Linked DNA regions of Struthio camelus. Each later gene encodes a partner of the first gene's protein in a complex. Links are inferred from orthologs where the notes say so. Each region holds a gene or a part of one and is shown on either strand. Other genes may lie near its edges. The genes, in order: SNRPG, CRIPT, PRPF8 and PRPF4.

What was found.
Region 2: SNRPG (region 1) and CRIPT share a complex: the UniProt entries of both Homo sapiens proteins name them as parts of the minor spliceosome. The link is inferred for Struthio camelus from reciprocal best matches to the Homo sapiens genes SNRPG and CRIPT.
Region 3: SNRPG (region 1) and PRPF8 share a complex: the UniProt entries of both Homo sapiens proteins name them as parts of the U4/U6-U5 tri-snRNP complex. The link is inferred for Struthio camelus from reciprocal best matches to the Homo sapiens genes SNRPG and PRPF8.
Region 4: SNRPG (region 1) and PRPF4 share a complex: the UniProt entries of both Homo sapiens proteins name them as parts of the U4/U6-U5 tri-snRNP complex. The link is inferred for Struthio camelus from reciprocal best matches to the Homo sapiens genes SNRPG and PRPF4.

What each region holds. Positions count from the first base shown.
Region 1 is NC_090968.1:3,162,676-3,169,691, forward strand, and holds SNRPG (small nuclear ribonucleoprotein G), read right to left. Parts: upstream 2,046-7,016; 5' UTR 1,926-2,045; coding exon 1,894-1,925; intron 1,654-1,893; coding exon 1,631-1,653; intron 1,259-1,630; coding exon 1,134-1,258; intron 754-1,133; coding exon 703-753; 3' UTR 516-702; downstream 1-515. Other genes in the region: protein FAM136A, read right to left, coding at 3,908-4,096, 4,169-4,309, 5,273-5,359. UniProt on the Homo sapiens protein: Plays a role in pre-mRNA splicing as a core component of the spliceosomal U1, U2, U4 and U5 small nuclear ribonucleoproteins (snRNPs), the building blocks of the spliceosome.
Region 2 is NC_090944.1:108,650,837-108,658,313, forward strand, and holds the start of CRIPT (cysteine-rich PDZ-binding protein), read right to left. Parts: upstream 3,017-7,477; 5' UTR 2,902-3,016; coding exon 2,886-2,901; intron 2,702-2,885; coding exon 2,636-2,701; intron 2,224-2,635; coding exon 2,169-2,223; intron 1,512-2,168; coding exon 1,408-1,511; intron 1-1,407. Other genes in the region: PIGF (phosphatidylinositol-glycan biosynthesis class F protein), read left to right, coding at 3,060-3,123, 3,507-3,757, 5,413-5,504, 6,330-6,446. UniProt on the Homo sapiens protein: As a component of the minor spliceosome, involved in the splicing of U12-type introns in pre-mRNAs. Involved in the cytoskeletal anchoring of DLG4 in excitatory synapses.
Region 3 is NC_090957.1:16,069,854-16,076,699, forward strand, and holds the start of PRPF8 (pre-mRNA-processing-splicing factor 8), read right to left. Parts: upstream 3,003-6,846; 5' UTR 2,821-3,002; intron 2,704-2,820; 5' UTR 2,694-2,703; coding exon 2,594-2,693; intron 2,486-2,593; coding exon 2,317-2,485; intron 1,645-2,316; coding exon 1,480-1,644; intron 1,379-1,479; coding exon 1,160-1,378; intron 485-1,159; coding exon 272-484; intron 1-271. Other genes in the region: TLCD2 (TLC domain-containing protein 2), read right to left, coding at 6,224-6,601. UniProt on the Homo sapiens protein: Plays a role in pre-mRNA splicing as core component of precatalytic, catalytic and postcatalytic spliceosomal complexes, both of the predominant U2-type spliceosome and the minor U12-type spliceosome.
Region 4 is NC_090961.1:12,158,480-12,166,424, reverse strand, and holds the start of PRPF4 (U4/U6 small nuclear ribonucleoprotein Prp4), read right to left. Parts: upstream 3,017-7,945; 5' UTR 2,723-3,016; coding exon 2,651-2,722; intron 1,890-2,650; coding exon 1,712-1,889; intron 1,556-1,711; coding exon 1,369-1,555; intron 1,143-1,368; coding exon 1,055-1,142; intron 241-1,054; coding exon 161-240; intron 1-160. Other genes in the region: anaphase-promoting complex subunit CDC26, read left to right, coding at 3,192-3,272, 3,431-3,604. UniProt on the Homo sapiens protein: Plays a role in pre-mRNA splicing as component of the U4/U6-U5 tri-snRNP complex that is involved in spliceosome assembly, and as component of the precatalytic spliceosome (spliceosome B complex).

The DNA.
Region 1 (7,016 bases):
TTGTTTAGTGCTCCTTTTGCAGCACTTAATGTCTAAATTATGTGTGGCGCTATTACTAGACTCGCCATAAGCTCTAGTCTTGTTTGAATGCTTTAAACCTTCTACAAGTGTACCAGTACTACAGAGCCCCATGCTTTGCTCAGTCTACTCTACCCCTTGCACTGCACGGGGCAACTGAAATAACCCAAAATAGCAATACCTCACATCGGGGTTGCAGATCGTAGTCAAGTTGCTGTCACAAATATTTTAATAAGACAAATGCTCCAGCCCTTGCCACTACACTGATAGTGTAAAAGAAGCCTAATAGCCTGCTTGCCACAAGAGGGCAGAGGAATACAGGACCAAAATTAATGCCAATATTGTGAAACTGTGCGTGTCACCTGCTGCAAGGACAAGCCTATTTTCCACCCGCTTGAAGAAAGCAAGCCCCCGGAAGTTTTTCAGAGTTTTAAGGCTATCAAATAATAATAAATCTGTTGCGCTAGCAGCATAACAACAGGTACAACTCACTCAAGTTACTTCAACCATTACAAAATTTATTTAACAAAAAATAAGTTTACACAAGTGATGTATGGTTTGTAGAGGATTTAACTGAGTACACAAAATAGTAGAGTTAGGTCCCATCACAGCCCAACATGCTGCACACACACAGGGGTCATCCCACATGTTGCACACACTGTCACTAAGCGGGTTTCACTGGTTCTATACTCGTTCCAAGGCTTCTAACATAATGATGCTGTTTCCTCGTATTACCTAAAAAGAAAAGTTCACAGCAGCCAGTGAGATGAAGCCCATCGGTAAACACAGCTCTGTAACACTGCAGATTCCCCCCTGCCCCATCCAAATTTGTCCTCCTAGAAGACTGCACAGTAGATGCTGCTCCAAAGTTGAAATTAAAATGCATTTCCCTACAAAGGAAAACTACAACTAATTTTAACTCTAAAACACAATGGATTGTTGTGTGCAAATACATCACTTCACAGGCAGTTTACATTACATTTTCCTTACAGCAAGTACATCAACTTCTTAGAACTCAGCTCCTTTAAATACATATATTAGCTGTCTTTGCAGGGCGGTGACAGACCAGGTACCTGTTACTTGTTTCAGCCCTGACAATCCAAACTAGTACTTACCACCATCCCTATGTTGTTCTGCTGTCCTCCTGGTGCCATCTCCACACACTCATCTATGACTAGATTCATGAAGGGATCAAACCCTCGCAATATCCCCTGGACGTGTCGGCCACCGTTTAACTTCACTGAAAGAAATCCAGTAAGCGTGAAGGACGGGACCACCGAACTGCGGCATCTGAGGTGGTTTTGCTCAGGACAGTAGCTCAGAAAGAGCGTGCTGTCATAATAAGAGTTGGGGGGGGGGTTCAATCACAAGCACGAAGAGCATCGCACCCTCACTTAACGCTGCCAGTGTAAGAAAGGGAGCGTAAGAAGCGAGAGGGTGAGAGATAATGCAAGGTAGCAATCTTAAATATATATTATATATATATATATATATATATATATATATATATACACACACACACACCGATTTGGGGGCATAAAAGAGATCGAGGACGCCCGCTGCCGTTAACCTGCCCCCCCCGCCCCGCCGCCCCCCGGAGCCCGGGACTCACGTGACAGCTTCTTGTCCATGAACCTGCAACGACACGGCGGGCGCCGGTCAGCGCGGCGCGGGCGGCCCGCCGCCATGACGCCCCCCACCCCCACCCCGCGCAATGCATGCCGGGAGAGCGGCGGTTGGAGAATAACGGTCGCTCGGGCAGGTAACCGCCGCCGCCCCCCCACATCACCCCCCCCCCCCGTCCCCCACTCACAGTTCCACCTCCCTCCCCCTCCGCCTTCCCGCGCCCCCCCCCCGCCCGGGGCCGGTACCTACTTCTTCAGCTCGGGCGGGTGCGCTTTGCTCATGGCGTCTCCTCAGCGCCGGGGCCACCGTCCGCTCTGCCGCTCGGCGCGCGCCGCCTGACGTCACCGCGCCGCCCCCTCCACCCGCCCCGCGTGACCCGCTCGCCAGCCAATAGCGGCCGCGCCTCCCCCTTCTCCCCGCCCCGCCGCCCCTCGCGCCTCCCCGGAAGGCGACACTCCCCTCCTTCCCCCGTTGCCGAGCGGTTACCGCATTCCCCCGAGCAGAGGCGCAGCAGCTGCGGCACCAAGCGCCGCAGGAGGCCCGGCGGGGACACGCTGGCGGAGGGGCAGAAGTAGCAGGACACCGGAGGGCTCCTGCGGCCGGCCGTCCCCGGAGGCGACGGCGGCACCGGCTTGGGGAACCGGGGGAGGATGCGCGGATACGCGGGTCAATACGGCTAGAGAGGGCGCCACGTGCTCCCGGCGCCGCTGGGCTCCCCACGCGGCCGCGCGCGCCGCTCCGTGCAGCGGCACCAGCAGCGCCGCCCGCCGGGCACACGTACGGGGGGCACCGTGCACGCCGCCGGGATCAGCCCGCACCGTGCACACCCCCGGGGATCAGCCCGCACCGTGCACATGTGCCTGGGTCACCCCATGCCTTGCACACCCCCGGGGATCAGCCCGCACCCTGCACACTCCCGGGGATCAGCCCGCACCCTGCACACCCCCGGGGATCAGCCCGCACCGTGCACATGTGCCTGGGTCACCCCATGCCTTGCACACCCCCGGGGATCAGCCCGCACCCTGCACACCCCCCGGGATCAGCCCGCACCGTGCACATGTGCCTGGGTCACCCCATGCCTTGCACACCCCCGGGGATCAGCCCGCACCGTGCACATGTGCCTGGGTCACCCCATGCCTTGCACACCCCCGGGGATCAGCCCGCACCGTGCACATGTGCCTGGGTCACCCCATGCCTTGCACACCCCCGGGGATCAGCCTGCACCCTGCACACTCCCGGGGATCAGCCTGCACCCTGCGCACCCCCGGGGATCAGCCCGCACCGTGCACACCCCTGGGGATCAGCCCGCACCCTGCACACCCCCCGGGATCAGCCCGCACCGTGCACATGTGCCTGGGTCACCCCATGCCTTGCACACCCCCGGGGATCAGCCTGCACCCTGCACACCCCCGGGGATCACCCCGCACCGTGCACACCCCCGGGGATCAGCCCGCACCCTGCACACCCCCGGGGATCACCCCGCACCCTGCACATGTGCCTGGGTCACCCCATGCCTTGCACACCCCCGGGGATCAGCCTGCACCCTGCACACCCCCGGGGATCATCCTGCACCGTGCACACCCCCGGGGATCAGCCTGCACCCTGCACACCCCCGGGGATCAGCCCGCACCCTGCACATGTGCCTGGGTCACCCCATGCCTTGCACACCCCCAGGGATCAGCCTGCACCCTGCACGCCCCCAGGGATCATCCCACACCCTGCACACCCCCAGGGATCACCCCGCACCCTGCACCTGCCCAGGGATCACCCCGCACCGTGCACCTGCCCAGGGATCGCCTTGCACCCTGCACACCCCCAGGGATCACCCCGCACCCTGCACCCGCCCAGGGATAACCTTGCACCCTGCACACCCCCAGGGATAACCTTGCACCTTGCACGCCCCCAGGGATCACCTTGCACCCTGCACACTCCCAGGGATCACCCTGCACCTTGCACGCCCCCAGGGATCACCTTGCACCCTGCACACTCCCAGGGATAACCTTGCACCTTGCACGCCCCCAGGGATCACCCTGCACTGCACACGCACTCACGCCGGTGTCACCCCGCGCCCTGCGCACGGGCAGCGGTTGCCCCGGGCATGCCGAGCCAGCGACCGCCGGCCGTTCGGCACGGGCACCAGGGGCTCCCTGCTGCCAGCACCCAGAGCGCCACCCGCTGCGGCCCCCCCCGCCACCACGGCGCCGCTGGGGCCCAGCTCTGCACCTCGCCTTTAATAAACGCGGGGCCGCGGCCCGGCCCCCCGCTACTGCTCGAGGGCGGCCAGGCTCTCCTTCATCCTGCGGGCCATGGCGGGCAGGAGGCGCAGGTGCTCGTCCCCGCAGGCGGCCACGCAGGCGTCGAGCTGGGCGCGCGCCCGCGCCTCGGGGCCACCTGCCTCCAGCGCGTCCCGCGCCTTGTCGTTGCAGTGCAGCGTGCAGCGGCCCAGGCGGTCCTGCGCGGGGACAGGGCTGTGAGCGCCGCGCCGTGCCGCCTGCCGCCGCGCCGCCCCCGCCGCCACCCTCACCTGGAAGCGCTCCAGCTCGCCGGTGACGATGGCCTGCGCCTGCGCCAGGGGCGCGTGGCACCGCTCGATGCACTGCTGCACCTGCTGCATGGAGGCCGCGCTGCTCTCGCAGCACCGCGCGCTGCACCGGAACATGGCGCCCTGCGGAGCCGGGGCCGTCAGTGCCCTGCGCGAGTGCCCTGCGCCGCCCCTGCCATGAGCGCGCAGCGAGCCGGCAGGGCCAGCCGGCCTCTGCAAGCTGCTGCCCTCCTGCTGCCGCAGGGCTGCACCGGGTGTGCAGGGAGGCGTGTGCAGCTTGCACAGGGGGTGTGTGCACAGGGTGTGCACAGGAATGCATGGAGCGTGCACAGGGGCTGCACAGGGGGTGCACAGGCACGCATGGAGCGTGCACAGGCGCTGCACAGGCTGTGTGTGCACAGGAATGCATGGAGCGTGCACAGGGGCTGCACAGGGGGTGCGTGCACAGGGTGTGCACAGGCACGCATGGAGCGTGCACAGGCGCTGCACAGGTTGTGTGTGCACAGGAATGCATGGAGCGTGCACAGGGGCTGCACAGGGTGTGCGTGCACAGGGTGTGCACAGGCACGCATGGAGCGTGCACAGGCGCTGCACAGGGTGTGCGTGCACAGGGTGTGCACAGGCACGCATGGAGCGTGCACAGGCGCTGCACAGGGTGTGCGTGCACAGGGTGTGCACAGGCACGCATGGAGCGTGCACAGGCGCTGCACAGGGTGTGCGTGCACAGGGTGTGCACAGGCACGCATGGAGCGTGCACAGGCGCTGCACAGGCTGTCTGTGCATAGGATGTGCACAGGCACACATGGAGCATGCACAGGGGCTGCCCAGGGTGTGCACAGGCACACATGGAGCATGCACGGGGGCTGCCCAGGGTGTGCACAGGCACACACGGTGCTTGCCCAGGGTGTGCACGGGGTGTGCACAGGCACACGTGGAGCGTGCACGGTGCTTGCACAGAGGCTGCACGGAGTGTGCCCGGGGTGTGCTCGCCCGGGGGTGCCCAGGGCCGCGCTGGCGGGGGTGGGGGGGGCGCAGGGGGCGCGGGCCGGGGCCGCGCAGAGCTGCCGCCGCGGGCGCCGCCGGTACCTGCAGGCCGCGGATGCTGTCCCGCTCCAGCCCCTGCACCATGCTCTCCACCGCCGCCTGCACCCGGCCCTGCGCCGCCTCCGCCATGCCCGGCCCGGCCCATCCGCTTCCCGGGTCAGCACCGCCCCCGGCCCGGGCCCCCCCGCGCAGCGCCCAGCGCCGTCGCCACCCGCCGGCCGTGCAGCGCCGAGCACCGCCGGCACCGCCCCAGCCGGCCTCTTGCACCCTGGTTTGGCCGGGATGTTGCATCCCGGATCCGCCGGGCTCTTGCACCCCGGTTTGGCCGGGATGTTGCATCCCGGATCTGCCGGGCTCTTGCACCCCGGTTTGGCCAGGATGTTGCATCCCGGATCCGCCGGGCTCTTGCACCCTGGTTTGGCCAGGATGTTGCATCCCGGATCTGCCGGGCTCTTGCACCCCGGTTTGGCCGGGATCTTGCACCCCGATTTGGCCAGGATGTTGCATCCCAGATCTGCCGGGCTCTTGCACCCCGGTTTGGCCGGGATCTTGCACCCTGGTTTGGCCGGGATGTTGCATCCCGGATCTCCTGGGCTCTCGCACCCCGGTTTGGCCAGGATGTTGCATCCCGGATCTGCCGGGCTCTTGCACCCCGGTTTGGCCAGGATGTTGCATCCCAGATATCCCAGATGCGCCAGCACCTTGCGTCGCACCCCGTGGCAGCTCTCGTGCCCCGGCACCTGCCCCTGCTGCCCCTTTGCAGGCCCCGGCATGGGGGGCACCCGCTGCCCCTCCGGTTGCTGCAGCTTCCAGCCTGGATTTACCTGCCTGGTCCCAGACAGAGGCCACGTGCGGGGCCGGCTCGGCCTCAGCACCCGGTGCCGGGGCCCAGCACCCCGAGTGCCCCGGCGAGCGGGGCTGCGTGGCGGCACGTGCCGGCCGCCCCGTGGCTCCTGCGGCCTGGCCGCCCCTCCCGCCGGACTCCAAAAAAAACCCAACCCCAAACACCTGCAAATAGCACCGCGGGCGGCCGGGACCGCCGGCATGCCGGGGCGCGGGGGCTTCGCGCCGGCGCCGCCGCGGTCGCTCCCCGCTGGCCGACGTGCGGGATCGTGGCGCGCCCGCCCGCTTATTTTTATTGCTTTCGTTTAAAAATACGGCTGGGCTGGCAGGGGGCCACGGGTGTCGGGTCTGGGAGGTGCCGAGGGGAAGCGCGGCTGGGGGATGAGCCAGCACCGGTGGCTCCTCCTGGGGACGCGCCAGCCCCAGCGCTGCCCCTTGCTCCCGGGGCCCCGGGTGCTTCACCAGCGCCAGCGGGGGGGAACTGTGGGCCTGGGCCGTGCTTGCACCGCCGTGCTTTGCAGGGCAGCCCGGGCACGGCCGCGCTGCGCTGCCCGCACTGCAATGCAATGCCCGTGCCACAGTATGCTGCCCGCACCAAGATGCAACGCTTGCCACAGGGTGCCCAGGCTGTGATGCCGTGCCCATGCCTCGCTGCAATGCCCACGCTGCCAGGCAGTGCCCGTGCAGCGATGCGACGCTTGCACTGCCACGCAACGCCCACACTGTGACGCAACGCCCACGCTGCGCTGTGCTCCTTGTGCAGTGATGCAATGCCCATGGCACGCTGCAGCGCCCGTGATGCAGTGCCCGTGATGCAATGCAATGCCCACGCCACAATGCAGCGCCCGTGCTGCAGCGCCCGTGCTGCAATGCAATGCCCGTGCCACGATGCAGTGCCCACGACGTGGTGCCTGTGACACAATGCAATGCCCGTGCTGCAATG
Region 2 (7,477 bases), on another chromosome or scaffold:
TGCTTTCATATATTGACATCATGATACTGGACACTCATCTAAGAGTCTATTAGGACAGACAACAGCAGGGAAAATACCACATGATTTACTCTAGAGTGCAAAATCCATCCCACAGGCTGTTCACCCCAGGTCTAAGTAGAGGCGTAGTTAACTTTGGAACATTGAATAGTCTCTAGCTTTCAGAGACGCGCAGCAACTGAAGCACTAATCCATACGACCACACCTGTTTCAAGAAACATGCCATATCCATTCTCTTTGATGGTCAGAGCTAGAACTTAAAGCAGCTGAAGCTCCGTCTTTTATGAAGAAATCCATTTCTACCTGGAAAGGTACACGAGCAGACAAAAAAGTCCTCAAGCTCACCCAAATCAACTATAAATTTAAGAAAGCATAAGGTTCCCTCATGTGGGATTCTGGCAGCCACCTGGTGAGCACCCAGAAAACAGAAAAAATAGCAGCTCTACGGCAGGCTGCTAAACCACTGACGCGCCGCCCAGTTGTGAAAGAATTAATGTCATTTCATAAACAACATTTAAACTCATACCGACTAGATGTGCCTCTACAGCTAACAATTGGTTTAGCCCATGTCTGTGCTGTGTGGATTTTCCAAAATTAGTAATATAACTGAGTTCATATGCTGCTGCTTTTTCCTCAGGCAATTACAAGCTTAGGCCTCCATTTTGCTTACCTACTCAAATTCACAAGACTGGTAAAAGTTGTATATCCTTAAGGCTCAACTTTTACCTCACAGTTGCTTGAAATTGTTCAACAGTTCATTGAGAAAACAAAAAACAATTTTCAACAACCCTAAAGGCTTGTTGTGAATACAGGAGACTGAAAACCTCAAGACAGAAGCAGAATTTCAGTGCAGCTGTTCATACATGATTTAGAAGTACAGAAAGATTTTGTATGTTATATACTACACTGGGCAATATCTTGCTTTCTAAACATAAAGGTTTTATTCTTACTTTTTGATTTTCAGTTGCAACTTAAGCCAAGCTTCTCTCACAATGCAAGAAGCCCGTTTGCCTTGAAAGGCACTTTATTAGCTCTTTTTACAACAGCATCTGTTTGTCTCTTTGCCTTTTATTTCCCAGGTTTTCTACTTTTGTAGAAAACAACCTGAGTCCATGTTGCAATATCTGACCACCCTCACAGTGAAAGTTTTTTCCTTATGTTTCATTTAAATCTCCTCCATTCTCACTTCTGTCCACTGTCTCTTATTCTATCACTGTGCACCTCAGAGAAAAGCTACCTTCAACTTCTCTACACCCTCCCATTAGTAGCTGGAGATAGCAATTAGATCTCCCCTTAGCCTTCTCATTGTAAGGCCAAACAAACCCTGAGTTGCGTTTGCTCACTACTTTCAAACCAAACTGGGCTAACTCAGTATCCAGTGAATCTCACCTTTTTTATAGGCACATCCTTGACAGTAGTGAGACCCTGGCTGATGGACAGAACTCTTACAAATCCGACATATTGCAAATTTGTTCTTTCCATAAGGATCAAACCTGAGGAAAGAGAGAAAGGAAATATACTGTATTTATACACCACGAAGTAAAGTAGTTCCGCTACCTCATCCTAAAAAGTCTAAGCCAGAGACCACAAACAGAAACTATGATTTAGAAAAGGGACATACAAAGATTGTTTCAAACAGGTTGCACTCAAAGTCTACAGAAAGACCCCTCGCTACCTTACAAAGAGAGGTTTCCTGCATTATGAAAACACAACGTGCCTTTTCATTAAGATGCTAGACTATTTTGAACTAAATGTCTTCCAGCAATGGCTTGCCCTCTCTACAGAGGATAAAATAAACCTTGCAGAAGGTAATAAAAGGGCCTGCAAATATTAAATACGCTGAAGAGACCGTACAGGTGGTCTTAGCAAGAGAGTACGTCTTTCCAGCTTCTCTTCTAATACGAATATCAAACTTAACACTCAGTTTTAGTGAGCACTGAAATATATTTTTGATTCAGCAGAAAGCACCCATGAAATATGTACAAACATACTGTTACCAACTAATAGCATGCCGCAACCCCCATTAAGAATTTTAAAAACAAAGTCCATTTTGGACATGGTTTGAGAAGCTGCCCAGTTGTGCAGGAAACAGGTCCTGGTTACAGGAAAATGACCTTTTTAGACAATCAAAATCAGGATTAAATACTAACCTTGCCTTCTTTGAAGTCAAAGCCTTGTTTTCATTCAGTTTTCGGCCCCCACTTTCTACAGAAAGAAAAATAAAGATGGTAGATTTCCCAGTTTCGATCAGGTTTGGGAAAAAGCTTAGCTTAGAAGTTTTACACTTCTGTAAATGAAATCAGAAAGAAAAGCACAGCGTATAACACAGGACTAAAGCACAGGACGACAGAACCCCTTACATTATCTTCTGCTTGGGTATCGTCACTCCACATGGGTCGGGGGAGAACCCAGACAGATCCAGCCCTGAAAAGTTCAGGGCAAGTAAACGCCCAGAGGATGGAATTAGCACGCTAAGGAAACTACAACAGTTAAAAACAAACCCAACAGAACAGCTATTACAATCCTCAGCCTTAGAATTGAACGACGATACAGGTGCCCAAGGGGCTTTAAGACATCTGAACGAGAAGCGTTAAAGCCCCCCGGAAAGCAGAAGTACCTGTGGTGTTCCTTGCGCCATCCTTCCACGTATCAGGAGTAATTACCGTGCCCAGTTTTTTCTCGCCTACGTGAGGAAACACGCGCGCGGAGGGAAAAAGCTCAAGTTGGTTTGCGTTAACGCCGGCAACCAGCCCCGCCTGCCGGCGGCCCAGCCACCGCCCCGCGACCCACCGACCGACCGAGTGACCCCCCCCGGCCCCGGCCCCGGCCCCGGCCCCGGCCCCGGCCCCGGCCCCGGCCCCGCTCACACTTCTCGCACACCATGGCGGACCCCGACCACAACAAACGGCCGCTTCCGGCCCCGCCCCCCGGACGTGACGCGCCCGCCGGGTCTTCCGTTGCGCCGCGGCGGGGCGACGCGCCGGTAAGAGCGGGCGCGGCTCGCGCTCCTCGGCTCCCTAGGGCCGCCCCAACGGGCTCCCATGTCTTCTCTCCTTCCCCTCCCCCCCCCCGACCGTTGGGCTCGCGGCTGCCGAGCGCGGCGGGGTGAGGCGGCCCAGGCCCGGCCCGGTCCGGCGCGGGGCGGCGGGGCGGCCCGCGGGGGAGAGCTGGGGGCGGCTGCTGCTGCGGGAGCCGTGGCCTGAGACGTGCCGCTTCGGGCCGCGCAGGAGGGGTGCCCGGGGCGGGCGAGCCCGCAGCCCGCCCAGCTTTTGAATGTGGGCAGCCTGTTGAAGGACAGCATTGCTGCGTGTTCCCCCCCCCCCTTTTTTTTTTTAAATGAACGAATGAAACTTCTGCCACAAAGTAATCCTCTTCGGCCCCAAACTAAGTTCAGAGTTTTGCCTTGTGTGTTTCAGCTAGGGAAAAATACTGCTGGCTAGTGCTTCTGGCTGTCTTTCAGTAACTAAGCACAGCTTGCTTTCTTGCAGGTGACTGGTTAACAGAGAACACAATGAAAGAAGCAGAAATAAAGAGGCTCCTAGCTGCCAACCTGCTCTGTGTTTTTTCAGTTATTCTAACAACAACCGTCCCAGCCTTCTTCCTGGACAACTTCTCGGTTTTGGGAACGCACCTCACCTGGCTGTGCGTTTGTTCTGTTTCCATTAGTGCCCTTAATATAATCTTATATTTAATCCTTAAACCAAATCTGTCTCCTAAGAGAAGTTCATTTGCTCACAAGGTAAGATTTTTATTCTTAAATTGCTACCAGGCAGTACTGATGGGAGGTTGAATTCTTTTACTGAAATAGTCAAGCGTGAAAGAGAAAGCAAGTTACAATTTTAGGTGGTGAAATCTTGTTTTCCATGAATGAGCTGAGAAGTAAGTTTTCTGATATTTTCACAGTGTTAAATTTTCTCTACCTGTAAATAGTCTGTTCAGGTGAGTGATTCCTTGCCTTTTCGTGTCAGTATACTGTGGCTTGTATACTGTGGCGTCCTTGATCCTCCAAGAGCTTACCTGCTGGCAAAAATCAGGGCGAATCCCTGAATGGGTACAGAACTCATTTCATAATCTGGGCCTGAATCCCAGTGTTATGAAAAGACACTTTTCTTCTGAGTAGTTAGAAGTTACTAATAATTCTAAAGGAAGAAAAACTTTTCTTAAACTTTTGACTGATGAAAAAGAAAACAAAGAGCTCATTAAATTTTAAACTAAGTTGGTAGATTTTAGAAGATGAGGTGGAAAAGCACTGAAGTGACTACCTTTCCTTGAACGAATACATCTGCACACAGAAGAATTTAAATCTGTGATAAATTTTTATAGTTAACATTTGTAACAGAAGCATTAAAGATATGAATTCCAAGAAAATACCTCTGAACAGAGCAAATTTGGAGCGGCACCCAACTTCCCTGGGAGTGGTGGAATAGAAAGGCATTCACAAGTCAGCTGGATAGTCTTGTCCTCCCAACTTGCTGAGTCAGACAAAATTTAATGCTCTTAAACGGTCGTTCTTAAATAGTTGTGCAAGCTAAACATCCTTGAAAGCAGTAACTTTTCCTATGAAACTTCTATCTACTTTTACTGACAGAGCAGGGCATGAAATCCACTAAATCATGGAAAACAAGCATTTTAACCATATATAATTTAAAAAACAAAGCAGGCTTCAAGTTTTAGGTGAGGTTTCATCCCAACTAGCACAGGAATATCTCTCCCTTCCCTCCCTCCCCCCCCCCCCCAAAAAAAAAAAAAAGTGTTCAGGTGAAACTGTGACACTTTATCAAGTGGCTCTATTTTGATATAATAGTGGGTACCCAGAAACTGTTGCTTTGATTCATAGAAAACTATATGCGTTTTGTAGGTTTAGAAGGTCATGGATGTTTCTCAAATGGATTTAGATTTTAAGATGGCAGTTTCAAAATGCAATACGTTTTATGTCATGTAGTTTTAAATACTATATTTCATTCTGAATATCATGTATGTATATTGCATCTTCCTAAATATTTTTGCACGTTCTGCGAAAGATGCTTTTTAACAAATGGGTATAATGCTGAAATGTAACACGTAAACATAAAAACATGCCCTAGAACTTTTTCCATTTATCTTGTTATTTCCAGTTATTTTTTGTATGTTTGTATAATAGTATGATATATGAAAAGATTTTTAGATTGGAGTGTGTTCATGTTATGTTTTTTAATTAATGATTTGAAGTATTAAACATAGGGAAAGCGGTCTGGAAATACAGGAGCGTATAATCATACTGTGCTATAGTTGAAATTAAATATCTAAGGAAGTGGGTACAGTGAGATGCTACTGATAAGATATTGACTATATACATTGCTCATTGTTCTCTTTTCTTTTGAAACATTATTCTGATATGTTATTGCTCTTTTTTAGATATCCAGATTTCTAAAATGCTGTATGTACTTTTTCATGTCTTGCATACTATTTCATGCGATTATTGTTCTTTATGGAGCACCTCTCATAGAGTAAGTCGGAAGAACCTTTTTTCCTCTAAACTCTTTAAGTGGCAGTTCTTCTTGCAGATATTGGTATAAGTACTTGAGTATTTCCTGGTACATTGGGAGTTAAAGGATAACCTCCTGGCTGGGCGAAGAGTGGCTATTTTTCGTAGAAGCTAGCCCTTAAAATTTCTATATATTTGGAGATGTACAAATATAGACATATTTTATACTTGTATGTCATATATATGGTTGCAAACATTTTCCATGTTTCATTTAGTCATTTTTCCATTAAGTTTCTGAAACGTGCATCTCCTATAGCTTTCATCCTTTTCATATTAGTATTTTAATTGTTAAGGGTGGTTTGGAAAAAAAAAAAAAAACAAAAAAAAACCCAAAAGGCTGCCTCACATCTCTCCTAACTGATTTTTGAGAGGCGCTAAATTACTGAATAGCGGTGACATCATGTGGCTTGGTTTCATGGTTGCTTCCACTAAGTCAAACTAGAAAGATAAATGGAATGATAAAGTAAATATCCAAGTGTACTTCAGTTAGAAAGTAGTAACCTTCTGTGTAAGATATCGCTGTATTTGTTAAAATGTTACAGGTATCGGACATTTAAAATAAGCTGCTACATTTCAGATTTTGTTGAGGTAACGAATGGATGTTAGAATTCTTTCCATCTTTCTTTTCTCTTCTACAGAGTAAGAAGAAAAACTTTTTTTTTCTTTACATGAATTTAAGAAAAATGCATGCTTTCTAGATGATTTTGAGTTTTTTTCCTAGTTCTTGGAACTCTTAGAAAATCACCAATTGTGCCTCAGTTAATTTTATTGTGTTCCTTCTTTGTAGGTCAGTGACTGAGACATTTTTGTTTGCAGTTCTGCTATCTACTTTTACTACTTTACAATGCTTGTGTGTGCTGGGACCAAACATTCAAGCATGGATACGGGTATTTAGTAAAAATGGGTAAGTTCTACTTTAAATTTTCTCCATTTTTTTCCCATAATAGAAATAGAGTTGTCATAAACAATATATCATGGAGTTTCTTGTAAAGCAAATAAAACATCCTGAATTATGGGTCATTTTCACTTTCATAATTAAGGGCTTGTGAAAGTTTTTCTGGCAAAGAAAACTATTATCTATTTTGAAGGTGTAACTGATTTAAAAAACTGGCTTTTTATTTCTGGTGGCCAGAGTTTAAATCTTTCTTTATTTGCATTTGAAAGACAAAAACCTTCAAATGCGCTATTTGACTGTTGTCAAACCGTTGTGCATGCTAGTATGATAACTGTCAAATACAGAAGAGATCTGTGAGTAAACGCTGAAGGGAGCATGACTGCACATGATCTGAGAGTATCCTCATAAGCGCAGCTTTTAAAGTAGAAATAGCAAGACAAAACAAACATTATTCTGGTGTTATCTTTAACCTGAATATAATTGTAAAAATAATATGTAATTTTCTGCGGTCTTAAGCATGTAATCCTTATCCATACTCTTTTTCAAATTTCTGAAAAAGCTGTTTTCGGTGTCAATTTTCTAGCATTTTTTTTTTTAAGAGTATGTTTAAAGTAAAATGAGCCTTTTTTAGTTGGTGAAAGCCATAATATAGGCACATATCAAGGATAATGCATTTTTCAGAAGTATTCTATCTAATGGGTGAAAAAAGGCAGCAGAGATAACAGGACTGTTGAAACACTGGGACTCTGAAACATAAAAAAAGCCCCGCGTTTGCTTGAGGTTCTAATAATATGATGTTAGTATTAGTGTCGTTGTAATGTGTCCCAAGAGTGAAATCTAATCTCAATGAAAGTAAAAAGTTGTAAAATCCTGCTGACCTAAGGAGTTACTTCGGATTTCAACTTGTATAAAGAAGGCCAAAAATAGTCTTTTTATAATAGCTTAATGTGTTGGCCTTGGTAGTATATCAGTTTTCAGCTTACGGAAAAATGTGTTGAGTGCTCGCTCAAGTCAGTTATGCTAGTTTTTTATTTTCAGTT
Region 3 (6,846 bases), on another chromosome or scaffold:
ACAAAAAGAAGTTGTCATACAAGCATTCAAGTAGGACAGAAAGGCAAATATCGTTGACCAAAGGTGTTATGCCAGCCCTTTTCCCTGAGCCTCCTCTTGACCTTAACAACCATTCAGTCTTTTAAGCAGCAAGCACATCACAAACTTTATGCTATGCAGAGAGAGAACACCCAGGTATAGCTCACCCAGGGCAAGCCACGTGGTAACACACAAACCTTCCCAGCCCTTACCCAGATAACCCCTTATCTTTCCTCCTAAACTCAGCACTTACTGAAGATTGATGTCTCTAACAAGAGGCTCGAACTTGGGACCTCCAGGAATAGCCATGTTCAGTGCCTTGGAGGTGAAGAATGCCTTCAGGTCAAACAAATAGAAATAGTTATCATCCACAAGGTCAGTGAGCAGCTGATTGGCCAGCCGGTACAACGTGGACATCATAGGGAGCGTAAACTGCCAACGCTGGTATGTAGAACCATTTACGTACCTGTGAAGGAACAAAGCACGAGACACTCACTACACAGCCAGAGAACACTGGGCCTTTACCAAAGAGCCAAGACCATCCAAACACCTTTCACTGCCTGTCATTTACAGAAAACAGTTAAAGACAGCTAACTCATGGGTCCCTCCAGACAGAAGAGAAGGTGGAAGGATTGCTTAAGACCACTGTGCACCACAACCACCTAGCAGTTACTGACCGGACCAATTCCCCTCCTCCATATCCAGACTGACACACCAACACCTGAAGTCATATTCAACAGCCTTTGAGGCGTAAGTGCACTCCTAACAAATATCAATTTAAATTCCAATCTGACAATTCAGGTTTTCAAATTTATGGCATGAAAGGAAAAACTCCAGTTTTAGCCAGTTAACTGGGCAGCAGCCTTCCTGAACAGAGACACTTTGCTTGTTCTCCATGGACGCTGAAGATAGAGGACTAGTTTCAAAGCAGTCAGATTCCTCCTTGCATCCTTGAGCGAAGGCTTCCTCTCCCCACTAACATCATACATAGCCCAGTACAATAAGACCAAAGGGTCTATAAAGTCTGCATATAGCAGTAGGCCTATTTAGTTTGTAATGTTTTGGGGTTTTTTGGTTTTTTTAGGTTTTCTTTTTCATTTGTTTTTTGCAGTGAACTGTTTCATCAGAAAGAGGTACATACTTCCTGTTGTCCTTCAGTGGCTGGTGGTCATAGAACCAGTCTAGCACAGGAGCATCTTCCTCCGGATCCAGCTCAAGCTGGATTGCTTCCAGGGGCTCTACATCCAGGATGTTATCAGCATAATCCAGAGGGGGTTCTTCATCATCAAACGGAGGGAATCTCATCCTCTTGAAATGACGCCTATCCCTCTTCTCTCGCCTCATCATAATCCACATTGACCTGGCAGAAACCGAGACCATTACGTACAGCACTACGTTAGCGTAGTTGCACGAGCGTTTATCTGCAAGTTTCCCATGAGGGTTAAGGAAGAAGGTGCTTACCCCCACTGTGCAATGTACACTGGCTCTATGACCCAAGGAATCTCATTCACAAAAGAGATGGCGCCTGTAATATGGTACAAGACTGGAACATCTCTGATTTGTTCCCAAGGCATGGGCATGTTCTCCAAGAGCTTTAGAACTGCATGAGGCATGTACTTCAGAGCACTACAAACAGAAATCAAAGAAAAACAGAGTTGGAAGGGATCTCAAGAAGTTAGCCATCCATCTGCTGAAAGCCTAACTAACTATATATATTTCACTCCCGAAAACTGTTCATCTGATCCGTTCATAAAGGTCTCCAGTGACAAATCCAACTTCCTACCCAGTCTATCCTTGTGCTTCACAGATCTTGCCACCAAAAAGTTTTCTGCTGATTTAGCTTCAGAGAGGATGTTACATGCTAAGAACAGTACCATCCCAAAAAATCAATTTCAAATGAGTTTCTACAGGTAACTGAAAGTTAGTGCAAAGGATCCCAATTTGCATGAGATGCTTCTCTGAGCCCAAATAGCAAAGAAGCACAGGTGCATATTAGATGTCCAAAGAACGTGCACTGGCCACCTTACACATTTCCTCAAGCTCCTGTTAAGACCTGTCTGTTATTCAGGGTAATGTTTTTCTCAAAAATTCAAAGCAACCGCTTCCTTTGCTTATACTCTTCTGTGTTGCTATCCCAGTGCAACTGGTTATCATGTCTTCCTCAGGTTACTACGCTGTTTTCTATACACAATTGACACGGAAAGCCCTTCGGAGCTCTGACAAGGCAGCAGAGGAGGACCGGGCGCAGCTCCCCTGTGCCACCCAGGCCCACCGTGACCAAGCAGGGGGCTGCGTTACCCCAGGTAGACGCGCTTGTCGTGGCGGAACTTCCTGTTGGTCATGTCACCGTGGTCGCGGATGATCTTGCGGACATGCTCGGGGGGCATGTCCTCCTTCTGCGCGTCCACGAAGCCGAACTTCCTCTTCTCCGCATAGCGCTTGGCCTGCAGCTGCTGCCACTTGCGGGCTGCGGGGACAGAGGCACAGCGGGGTCAGGCCCGGCCTGCGGGGCCGGCCCAGGCGGGACACAGAGGGCCCGGGGCTGGCCGAGGCCGGCGAGACCGGTCCTACCCACCTTTCTCCTGCAGCTTCTCCTCAGACATGTAGTCGGGCAGCGGAGCCAGCGGGCTGGGCACCGGGGCGCAGCCGCCGCGGTACGGGAACACGGCGGCCATGGCGACGCACCTGCGGGCACGGAGCCGGGCTCAGGGCGGGGAGGCGGCTGCCGTTAACCTCCCCCCCCGCCGCCACGACCCCTTCCCCACACCCGCCCCGGACCCCCCGACCCCCGCCCGCGCTCACCGGCTCCCGCGACACCCCCCGACTCCCCACCACAATGGCGGCCCAGGCCCGTCGCCACCGCGCCTCGGAGCCCCGGATGTGGGCGGGGCGCGCTCAGGAGGAGCTTCCAATCAGCTTCCGAGCCGCCTCACGGGCAGCTGCCGCAGCCCGTCAGAACGCGGAGGCGGGGTGCGGGGCGGGACAGGAGGCAGAAGAGGAAAGGAAGCCGTGCCTGGAGTACACTTCCGATAGGCAGCCCTTCCCTCTCCGGTCCCGCCCTCCCGCCGTTTCGATTGGTGGAGGGGGGACGGCGGCGACAGCACGGCGGCGGCGCTGATTGGACAACGCCTGGCCTATTTCACCTACGCCACCGGCCTTGCGGGGGCCCCTGGGGGGGGAGCAAGGGGGACCCCCATGGGGTGCTTTAGGGGCGAGGGGCCCCATGGGACCCCGTGGGGCGAAGGGGACCCTCCCTGGGGTGCTGCGGGGTGAGGCCCCCCCATGGGGCCTTGGGGGGATGGAGAGGAACCCCCCCCCATGGGGGGCTGGTGGATGCTGGGGGGCGAGGGAGCCCCCTATGGGGCCTCGTAGGGTGATGGGGGCCCCCTGTGGGAGCTTTGGGGGGGCGAGGGGTCCCCCATGGGATCTCGGGCACTCTCCGTGGGGTGCTGTGGGGTGAGCCCCCCCATTGGGCTTTGTGGGGATTGAGGCGGACACCCCCATGGGGTGCTGTGGGGCAGGGGGGACCCTCTATGGGGTGCTGAGGAGCAAGGCCCCCCCATAGGGCCTTGTAGGGTGAGGAGGACCTGGGGACCTTCCATAGAGTGCTCTGGGGTGAGCCTCCCATAGGGCCTTATGGGCATTGAGGGGGACCCTCTGTGGGGTGCTGCTGCCACCCATGGGGCCTTGTGGGCCAAGGGGGGACTTCCATAGGGTGCTGTGGGGTGGGGGCCCCCCACAAGGGCAATGGCAATGGCAGTGCATGCTGGCCAGCCCACGTGGCCCCATGGTGCTCACATCTCCCCTCCTCGGGTCCAGGGCCACTCCACCCCACAGCGCCGCACAGGGCCGGAGCATGGGGTGCCCCAGAGCCCCCCCCCCAGGGAGGGACACCTCCTCCCACCCAGCCCAGACCCCACGGCTGGAGCGCAGGACCTCCTTCCCGCCAGCACCTGACGCCGGGGCCGTCAGTGCGTCGGCAATTAGCCACCGTCCTCGGGGCCCCCTTCCTTGGCCCCCCGGGAACGGCGTGCCGTCACACAGCCCTCCGAGCTGGTTCAGTGTACTGTGAAAGCGCGAGGTACAACGCGCTGCAAAGACAAGCGGGCTTAATGCACCGCAGCCACCCAACAGGCGGTCACTGGCGTCAGGGCTTGGGCATGGCAGGGGTGCTGGAAAGGGGAGAGGTTGTCCGTGCCCCGTTAACCCAGCCCTGGAGGGGTGGGGGTTGGGCTCCCTTCCCAAAATCAAGGCCACAGCATTTTTCCTCTGGACAGGTAAGCATCAGGTACCCAAGCGCTTGGCTGCAGTGAGCTGCAAAGCCACCATGAGCACTGCAGGAAAATCCCATCTGCTAAGAGAGTCCCCCAAAACAGGGCTTCCCTGGCCTCAACCTCCTGCTGCGATATCCTCCGTACGCACCTGCTCGGTAGGTGATGTATCTAGAAAAGCAGCATGTGCCAGTCCGGGGTGGGGGGGGGTGCCTTTTATAACATAACCCGGGCTGTCCTCGCGTGCCTGGGGTACACGATATCCATGTGACGGCAGGAATGCGACAACACAATTGAGGCCTTGAGAAACGTGCCCGGCGTGGGCAGAAGCAGGAGGACAGAGCAAGCCTTGCTGGACGGGTGCAGAGGCCGAGCAGCTGCGCTGCGAAAAGGGCAGCTCCTGAAAAACTGCGCAGAAATGGGCCAAATCCAAAAGAGAGCGCTGGCTGCCTGCTCAGCCCTGCCTGGGAGGTACGTGAGGCACACGGGCACTTGATAACCGCCGTGGGCCCCGAGGTGACAAACCCAAACCCTGCACCTGCAAGCTTCCTTGCACTGTCCACAAATAGAAACATAAGCAGCTTTGGCCACGAGTCGTTTCCAGCATCCCACTACCCACACGTGTCGCTTGTCTTTCTCCTTCTGGACAGAAATGTGTCTGAGCCCTTATTTTCCTCCTCGAGGCAGAAGCCACCCACCCCCAGCAGTGCATTGCCAGTAGCTGCAGACTGTCTCCCTGCTGTTTCAAACCAATGGAGAAATCGCACATTCAGGGTGATCTGCCCCAAAGAGAGTGTGACAGACAGACCCAGCGGATTTCTCCAAATGGGCACACGTAACTCTGAGTGGGATGACTTTGCTTTTCTGCAAGGTGTTGGGCCACTGCAAACAGCGCAGCGCAGGGGAAGCAGGAGGAAAAAGGCAACGTGAGGACCTGCCCAGCTCTGAGCCCCTTCCCCTCAAGCTATTTCATTTGCAACTGTTTATTAAAAGCTTGTGTTAGTATGAGCGCTTGCTGCCGCACAAGAGTGTTACGGAGGCTCTGCAGCAGGACTCTTCATTCCTAAAAGATGCCCAAATCTGGCCCATCTGACGACCCCTCCTCCGTGGGAAGTGATCACCACGTAGCCCCATCCTGGCCAGCAGTTTGCTCCTTCCCATGCTTGTGCAGGGGGACTTGTTGCACCTGGGAATGAAGCAACACTGAAAATATGTCCAGGTGCCAAGAGGAGTCAGCAGCCCATCCCCGAGCGCATGGACACAGCACCCACTGCCCAGGGCTCTGGTGCCCAGGCTGCACCTGCTGCAGGCTGGCCTCAGCCTCTCCCTCCATCACCCACCTGGGACTATCTCCTCAGGGAGGACTCGCGTGCAGGATTTGGCTTTTGCTGGACTTGGCCTCGAGGGTGAAGCTTTGGCGCCTCTCCTGCCTGGTGGGATGTGCCATGGAGAGCACAGGGCTGGCAGCAAGGTCCCTGTGATGCTGGGCTGGCCCTTGGGCAGTGCTGGTGCCCAGCCTGTGGGATGCTGCAGGGTGTAGCACCGAAGGGGTCAGAGACACACAGCAGCTTTCGGCTGTCTGGAAGAGCAGCAGGGAGACAATGGTCTTCTCCTCGCTCCCTTTTCATCTCAGCAGTGGCCTTACGGAGCTGCGAGACCTGTCGAGGCTTCTTTGAGCAGCTCCCAGGCATCCAACCACGTCATCAAAGGTGCAGGGGAAGCAGGGCCCCAAGCGCCTGGTCTGGAAGTGCCTTTTCCACAGCGCGGGGCCTGGGATCTGCAGCCACTGGAGCAGCCCAGGTGCTCTGGTTAGTGTGGATCCTCCAAGCAAGATACTGAAATATCCGTGCTCATTCTCCACTGCTCTTCTTCCTCGCTGTCCTCTTCCATAGGCCTCAGGGCTGCTCATCCCCTGGACCCTGCAGAGAAAGGGGCTATTTCTCCTTGTCCTGCTGCACCTCCTTGCTGGACTTGAAGAAGTCACTACGCAGCAGGCGGTAGAAGAGGATGATGTTCATGGGCGTCATGATTGCCATGCCCACCGTGCCCACAGTGTACGTTGCCAGGGGCACGTTCTCCCGGTTGAGAAAGAGCCACCGTGTCATCCAGGCCAGCGTGGCAATGCGAAACACCACATAGGTGCCCAGGTTGACGATGCTGTTGAGGCGGTAGCAGGTGGTGTGCACCAGGTTGGCCATGAGCAGAATCTGCCGCAGGTGGAGGAAGATGGAGTTAATCTCCACCAGCAAGGCAATGAGGGCAAACCCAACGTACTGATGGAGTACCACTGCAATACCAAAGCAGACGATCACCTGAGAAAGACAAAAGAAGGGAGGCTGAGCCGGGGAGCTGCTGTCTCCTCAGGAGGGTGTAGATGGTTGCAGGAACAGCAGCTCTTAGTCACTGCCAGCGACTTTCGTGTTTGGGTGCAACATGGAGCAGAGGTGCAAACCATTGTCATGCCAGTGCCCAACTACTGGTCATCCCCCCACTTACATCTCTGCAGCATCTCAGCCGCCAGCTGGTCCTGCCACCTCCAGCATGAGATCAAGTCTCC
Region 4 (7,945 bases), on another chromosome or scaffold:
TACTAAGAACTTAAACTCTAACCTCACTGGGTTTGTCTACCAGCAGGGGTTCCCTGTTCTCTTGATCTCAAGTTTCTGGCATTACCCATAGTGGGATTAATGGTTAGATTTGACAGAAGCCTGCATCTCTCTCTTTTTCATGTATTTTGTTTTTCCTTACCTGGGGAGCGAGTAGTTAGCAAGCCACAGCCTAGCTGTCTTCAGACTGCGTGGTCCTTCGTGGTACCAGGTTTGCTGATACTTAGAGAAAAAGAACAAAACTAAAGAAAAAGCTAATGTGATAAGAGTTCTTCCATTCAGTCATCTTAGATAACTCCTCTTCGTACATAACTGCCACCGCAGCACCTTCTCTTAAAGCTTGCTGTCTTAAGGCCTTTGTCTTAAGGGGCTGAATGGGGTATTCTGCATAAATATAAGTCCTCAAAAAAGAGATTTAACACAGACAAGTCAAGTTCTCTGTCCTACAAATGAGATCCTGGTGTACTGCCATGCCCCACAGGTGTATTCTGCTTGAACACAATCTTATATTTCACTTGACCATTTACTGCTGATGATTTTACTGGATATGTGGAAAAGGGAGGAATAAAAAGAAAGCCTGGAGCTGCAGAAATTGTACTTACTCCTTATAGCAACCCTCCAAAATCATAAGGAAAAAACCAGACTCAGAAAAGAGAGGCAGAAAGAAAGAAGAATCAAAGACAGAACTAGATGTAGTGGCAGGAACATAGTTTTTTTCCTCCTGAGTAAGATGATGATCAGCAATAAAGGATTTACTAAGTAACAGTTCCAATGCTCAGTCTCCTGGTTTATACGCCATATGCAACATGTAATTTGGTCTGAAGTACAACCTGGACTTAATTCTCTTGATTTAAATACATTGCAACCCTCACTGTCAGTCTGACTGAAACCAAAAGCACTGGATCTATTGTAGACCGTCTAAATAAGGTATCTAAAAACTTTTTATACATATTCCCCGCCACATTAAGAGCTAGCAGCAACCCCTCCAAAATAAATAAATAAATAAATAAGGAGAGAGAAAAAGAGAGAATATTACCTCTTCTTTGGATTTTTTAGACTTGTCATCATCTTTCCTACTCTTTTTCAAGGCATCTGTGCCAACCACTGAAAGGATATTTCGTAATCTGAAAAGAAACACATTAAATCACATTCACTCAGTGAGCTGTCAGATAGTCTGACCATTGTCTTCTGTTCTCCCCCTCACCCCCATTATTCTTGCTACATCATAAAGAAGCATCACTGACTAGCAGCGTTCATTACACCCAAACTACAAGAAATATTTCAGGAATTTGACAAATGGGGTAGAGCTGAGTGTTAACAGTTAGCAACACGCAAGACTGGGCACAGCACCTCTCTCTCCTTTCTGCAGGACCTTCTCCAAAGAGCGTGATGGGCTCCCCAAGGGCTCGTAAGCAGGCTTTCACTTCAGAGTCGTCAGTGGAAACGTTGATTTGCCGGGCTCTCTTCCTGCGCTCAAACTCGGCTAAGACTTCGGCCTGACGCTCGCTCATATGGTCTTCGAGATCAAAGACCTCACCTAAACCAAAAGTGAAGCCGTTAAATTGAAAACGGCAGCTGGACAAAGGTGTCTCGTTCTTGATTTTAAATTATGCTCAAGCCCAAACAGAGAGACTTATGAATATGTCAAAATCAAGAGCGAGAATCAAAAGGTGACAGGGTTAAACATTCTCACCACTGCTTATGTTAATGTTGCCAGCCTCAATTGCAGCCTTCACGCCCTCTTTTCCCAGCAGGCCTGACTCTCCTTTTGCAAGACGCTCTCTTTCCTTCTCTTCCAAACTGCCATAAAAGATGTGGGCTCTTTTGGGTGGAGGAGCATCGCTCTCCTCTGAGGCCTTGCTCTTTGCGACCTAGAAAATAGAGGCAGAACATTAAGACTTCTTCAGTGTGTTTTAGCTGAATAGAAGACATTCGGTGAATGGCTTGGCTGTGCGAGAAAGCACTGCTCTGCCAGAGAAAGCTAGTAAGGACATCATGAAAAGACCCTGAAGCTGTGCACGAGATGCTAATTTAGAACAGTAAGGCTATGCCCCTCAAGTGCAAAAAATCAAAAGTTAAACGACATGTTCAATAGACTTGCTTAAATTAGATTTGCATCTTTTTCTATTTTTTTAGTGTCTGCTTGGGCATAGTTTTTAAGTCTCTCTCTCTCTCTCTCCTATTTTTTTTTTTTTAAAAACATGAAGCTCTTCCCAATCTTGCTGAAGAACTTCTAGAAGAGGCATGAGATGTTGAATGCCACCTCTCAATGCCCCCGCTGAAAAGCGGGAGATGTAACATTACCAAAAAAAACCCTCCTTTACTCGCAGGACAGAAGCCTGAAAGCACTTTTCAAGAAAATTACAGGATTCTTCAAAAATCTGCGAAAAAACATCAACAGTCTGGTCACGACCCCTTTCGAGGGCTCAGGTGTCGCTGACGGCACTCGAGTCTCCGCCGCGCCGCCGCTCGCTGCGTCCCCGACACCGGGGCCTCCCCCGCCACGCAAACCGCCCCGCTGCCCCCCGCTCCCCCTTTCGGGTCTCCGGCGCGCAGGCGGGCGGAAGGCGGCGGGCCAGGCCCGCTCCTCCGCTCGGCCCCGGCCCCGGCCCCGGCCCGGCTGGACACGCACCTCGGGGGGAGCGGGAGCCCGCGCGGGGGGCCGCGCGCCGCCGCGCGCCACCGGAGCCCGCGAAGAAGCCATAGCGGCCGGCACCGGGACACCCGCCGCTCCGCGCCCTGCCGCCCCGGCACCCCACAGTCACTTCCGGGGCGCCGCGCGGCGCGTGTCGGGAGGTGGGAGCCTGAGTACGCGGCGGAGTGAACGGCGAGCGCGATGCATGCCGGGAGGTACGCCCCACTCCCAGCTGGCGGGGAGCGCGGGGCGTGCCGGGAGGTATGACCACCAGTGGGCGAGGAGCGCAAGGCATGCCGGGAGATGTGGCCTCCAGTGGGCGAGGAGCGCAAGGCACGCCGGGAGGTGTGGCCCCCGACGGGCGGGGAGCGCGGGGCATGCCGGGAGGTGTGGCCCCCGACGGGCGGGGAGCGCGGGGCAGGTCGGGAGGTGTGGCAAACGGCGCGGCGGGGTGCGTTCTCGCTCCTTGCCGGTGGCGGCGGCTGAAGCCGGGCGGCGGCGGCTGAGGCGGCGCTGGCGGCGGCGGCGGCGGCGAGCGATGCTGCGGCGGAAGCCGACGCGGCTGGAGCTGAAGCTGGACGATATCGAGGAGTTCGAGAGCATCCGGAAGGACCTGGAGGTGCGAGCGGGGCCGGGCGCGGCGGCGGGCGGGGGGGCGCGGCCTGAGGCGGGCCCGGGGCCGCCCCGCAGCGCGCGGCGCCGGTACCGGGGCCCGGCGCGTCCCCCGCCGCCTGCCGGGAGCGGCCGGGCTCTGAGGCGGCGCCGTTTGCCCTGCAGAGCCGCAAGAAGCAGCGGGAGGAGGCGGAGGTGGCGGCGGCCGGCGAGGAGGCCGCCCTGGCGCTGGGCGCCGAGCACAAGAGCCGGGAGCAGATCATCGGCGAGCGCATCGGCTACAAGCCGCAGCCCAAGGCCGGCGGCCGCGCCGCCCACTTCGGCACCTTCGAGTTCTAGGGCCGGCGGAGCCCTGGACCGGTTTTTCTTGTTATTTTGGGGATTTTCTTGATTTTTTTTTTTTAATTTTCCTCCTTAACCAGCCTGTGAATGGCCCCTGGCTAACTATTTTGTTTTAAATAAATATGTTTTTTTTTTTTTTTAAGCGTGCGAGCTGCTTTCGCTGGCGGTGGAGAGCGGGGGTTGGAGGCGCCGAGACCAACGTTTGCTTCGCGTGTGCGAGAACCGGGGACTGAGCAGGTGCCCTGTTACGCTGAGGGGGTAAAACGCTGCCTCTGCGGAAAGAGGTTTTGGGGATCTTTTGATTTAGTTATCTTAAAAACTGAGCCAGCGGGATGTATTCATTGAAACCGTCAGCTCTACAAGACTGTGACCTCCCTGCCATGAGGAAGGGTGCTGCAGAGTATCTAATTAGTGTTTTACAGCTCTGGGTGAATAAAGATACTGGGTGTCATGGATCGGGGTCCAACTGGCAAAACTTCTCACAGACACCGCTCTATCTTCTTCTGAGAAGGCCAGGAAGGAAGCCCGCCATGGCTGTTAAAATGGACTAGTCCCGAACATGTTTCACAGATGGCTGTAGAGCTGCTTTACAGCCAGTGGCACAGCCAGGGTGTGGATTTTTTCCTTTGAATGAAACGCAGCAGAACACGCTAGGCACGTGGAAATTGAACAGTATTCCATAGTTTCTGATTAAGCATTTTTTTTCCTTTAAATTTATTTCCTTCCCCTCCATTCAGACCTGGCGAGTGGGTCGTGCTAGCTGCATCGCTATGTAGCGAGAGGTGTTTGTTGCTTGGATCAAAGGTTACCACACATCCCCTTATAGACAGTGTCACATGCAAACATGGATTCATTTCTGATAGTGACAGACTAGCAAGTACCTTAATTTATAGCTGTGACTGGTACCCCTGTCAGTTAGATGGGTACAAAATTAAAAAGTAAGATAATGTAGTGCCCTGAGGAGGAGTCTAGCGTGTAGCCAGCCAACCTAAAGGAAGCAAAATAAAAAACTGAAGGAGTCAATGCTGTCAGTGTTTAAAAGATTCTCTGTTCCCTCCAGCCTGGGGAAGGAGGCAGAGCAGGCTGCCAAGCCGCAGTGCCTGTATCAAAACATCCACATGGGACTTAAAGATGGAATGGGAAGTTTTCCCTACTCCTGTAGGGGATTGTTTTTTTACCATCTTCTAGTGCAGTAACCAGTTATATTTCCAATGTCTCAAGTGACAAAGTTCCAGGCATCTCCCTTGAGAGGATATTCCACAACCTACTACCACTCAGTCCCTGCTGTTTTTCTCCCTGCTGTTTATTCTCCAGTCCAGCCTTGCTGTTTACCTACTTCAGACAGTCTTGAGTTGATATCCCAGGTTGACAAACTGTATGCAAATTCCTTGACAATCTTTTTAATACAGTGCTAAAGATTGAACTGTGGAGCCCTTGGCCCTGTGAATTTGGCAACGCTCCCATCTTCTGTAACCGAGCCTAATGAATTCAAGTACACACAGTGCAACTTTGACTCTATGGTATTTATTGAGAGTTACTCGCATGCATGGCAGCTGTTTTATTTGTGCATGTATTGACTTCGGAGTATTGGCTGGAGAAACCTGGCAGAAGCATGAATGTGATAGAACTGAGCAGTACCAGAGCTGTAATCAAAACCTGGACGGGTTCAGGACGATCCACTTCAGTGATAGCGTTGGCCATGTTAAAAAAAGAGACATGGGGACTGTAAGCACTGGTAAGGGAGAAGCGGACTGGAAGGTTGTGCAGAGATGCTGGCACATTCCCCTCAGACTCTCTTTTTATGCAACTGTAGGACTTGCATAATAGTAGGGCTAGGGGAAAGTTTTTATTGTGCTTAAAAGTTTGCTCACGAGCAAAGATTGGGCAGTGACAGTTATTCCTACACAGGGATAAGGAAAGGGGCAAAGAATGCTCTTTATTGGTATTGATATTTTTCAGTATCTATTTGCCTCCCTAATTGCTTCTGCCATCCACTGTACAACCTTTCCCTGTGGAAAGAAGGGAGTGTTGTCATGTTTGGAAATGGAGGAGCACCCTCTCTCCATGCCGTCCAGGGAGGTCACATGCTGTAATTTCTGAGGTTTTAGTTTTGACGTTTTATTTGCATCACGCTTTCGGCCCTTCTAGCTGCTTCTGTTCCTCCTCCAGGGAAATGCTCACCTTGTAGTTCAACACGCGCACCTTTCACCCTTTTCAGTGATCATCTCACTGCAGTCTCCCAATCCTGTCTCGAAACTCCAGTTCCTCAAAACCCATTCCTCTCTGTTGCAGTGCCAAATTTTCCCTTATTTTCTCCTCCCAGTGGTGTCTAATTGAATTTTTCATAAAAAAAGAAAAGCCCGTTCTGACATGTTATGCTCAGTTTAGTCTCCTGCTTTCCAGCACAAAAGAAGACTGAATCTCTTTAGAAGCTAATTTCAGTGAAACAACTCCAATTCCTTCTCTGACTTCAGCCCACAGTCCAAACTCACGTTGCCTGAGTTCACAGGGCATGCCTTCCTTTCCAGGGCATGTGAAACCTCGGCTACTGTTTTTGCTCATGCTGCTCTTTATAATCCACCTGACACGTGTTCCTAAAATCAAACATTCAGTATAGCTTCCTTGAAGGGGCTGTACCTACCTAGCAGTTACTGATCACAGCCCTGGGCATATGCAAAAAAGTGATGGTTGATTTCTAAATGTAAGAAATATTTTTGCCTCCGAGTTATGTTTTAGGACTCCTGTGCTCTAAACTTGACTTGCTGACTTCATGCTATAGCCTTGTATGAGGCATCAAATTTCAGGTCAGGCTGGAGAAATGTACAAAACTTAAACCTCTTCAAACCATTCTTCAGATTGGAAGAAGTGACAATGTTGACTAGAACAGAGCTGGTTTTCCCGTCTCACACCATGTGAAATTATGAGGGACTGCCCTGCTATGCAGGCATCCCCAGCATGGCCTAAATCCGACAGGGAAACATTTTAGGAGCAACAGCAGGAAGTTCCAGACACCCTTTGGTTGTTTATGGAAACAAAAAACAACCCAAACCCCTGTTTCTCCTGTGTGGATGACTGCAACCTGGAATAAAACTCTGGGGCGGGGTGAGGGGAGCTTCAGTATTCCTTGCTGTATATAGACATCTCCCACGACCAAGTGGGTTTATTATCACATCTGCCCCAAATTTTGTCTTTTGACCTCTCCCTCTGTACTGGAAAGCAGATCAGGCAGGCACTAGTTCCTTTTTCCATCTCAGCCTTGGCCACACTCAGCAAAATTTAAATAAACAGAAACAAACAGCTACTTACGCATTACTAATTTCCAGCACTCCCATTCTAGCAGTTTCAGGAGTTATTGCTCAGGGCCAGCCATGGGCTCAGAAGATGCTGCTCCTTATTCTAATCCCCAACCACAGGAAGGTGGACACTTAGCCCCTGCTGCACACTCGCTTTGTCACAACAGGCACAGGAGAGTAGTGCAAGGGAAAAGGGGCTGGAGAAAGCCAGACCGGAGCTGCCTGGCTACTGGTCGTTAGTTCATAAAACCAGGCACTTACTCTTGGAGTCACTTGCTGAATGTTTCAGTAGAAGCTGCTGGCCTCCACTTTAGCTGCAGTCTCTGCTTTGAGGGTTATTTCCAAAACACACATACACCATGGTAAAATGCAATCTATTTTATTGGCTAATTATTTACAAGGGATTCTTGATATTCACAGTAACATTAGACAAGTTACTTCCACAAAGAGCAAGAGTAAAAACAAAAGTGACGGTCCACTGTAAACAAAACTATGTATCCTGCTGGATCTGTTGGGACTGGCTTCAGATCAACTGAAAAGGCACTCAGGGAAAAACAATAAAAGCCAGCTGATGAACACAGCCTGGGTATTTTGTGCACTTCTTCCAAGGTGATAGGCTGGAGGCACAGATCGTATGGAGACTGATCGTCAGGGCACAGTCAGAGAAGACAGACATAGGACATCACACTCCAAGCTTGCTACATAGGTGTCAACGCATGAATTAATTTACTCAAGTTCTAGTAATCATTAGAGTCCTCACCTCCCTCCAAGCACTACTTAATGCAAGCCTAGTGTTAACATCAGGACAACCTCAAATACAGCCAGCAGAAAGGCTGGGACTGCAGCAAAAGCAGTCAGTAGAAGTCATCATTAGGGAGGCCAAGTTTTGTTCAGAGCCTGGCAAAGTGGGCCAAGAACACAGCAGCCTGTAGCATTAGGGAGGCTGCGACAGGGGAGGTAGATGGCTTCTCTGGATTGACAACATTTAACCAAAAAAAGCATGGCCAAAGCTCATAGGGAGACAGGGACTAGAGACATCCCTTTT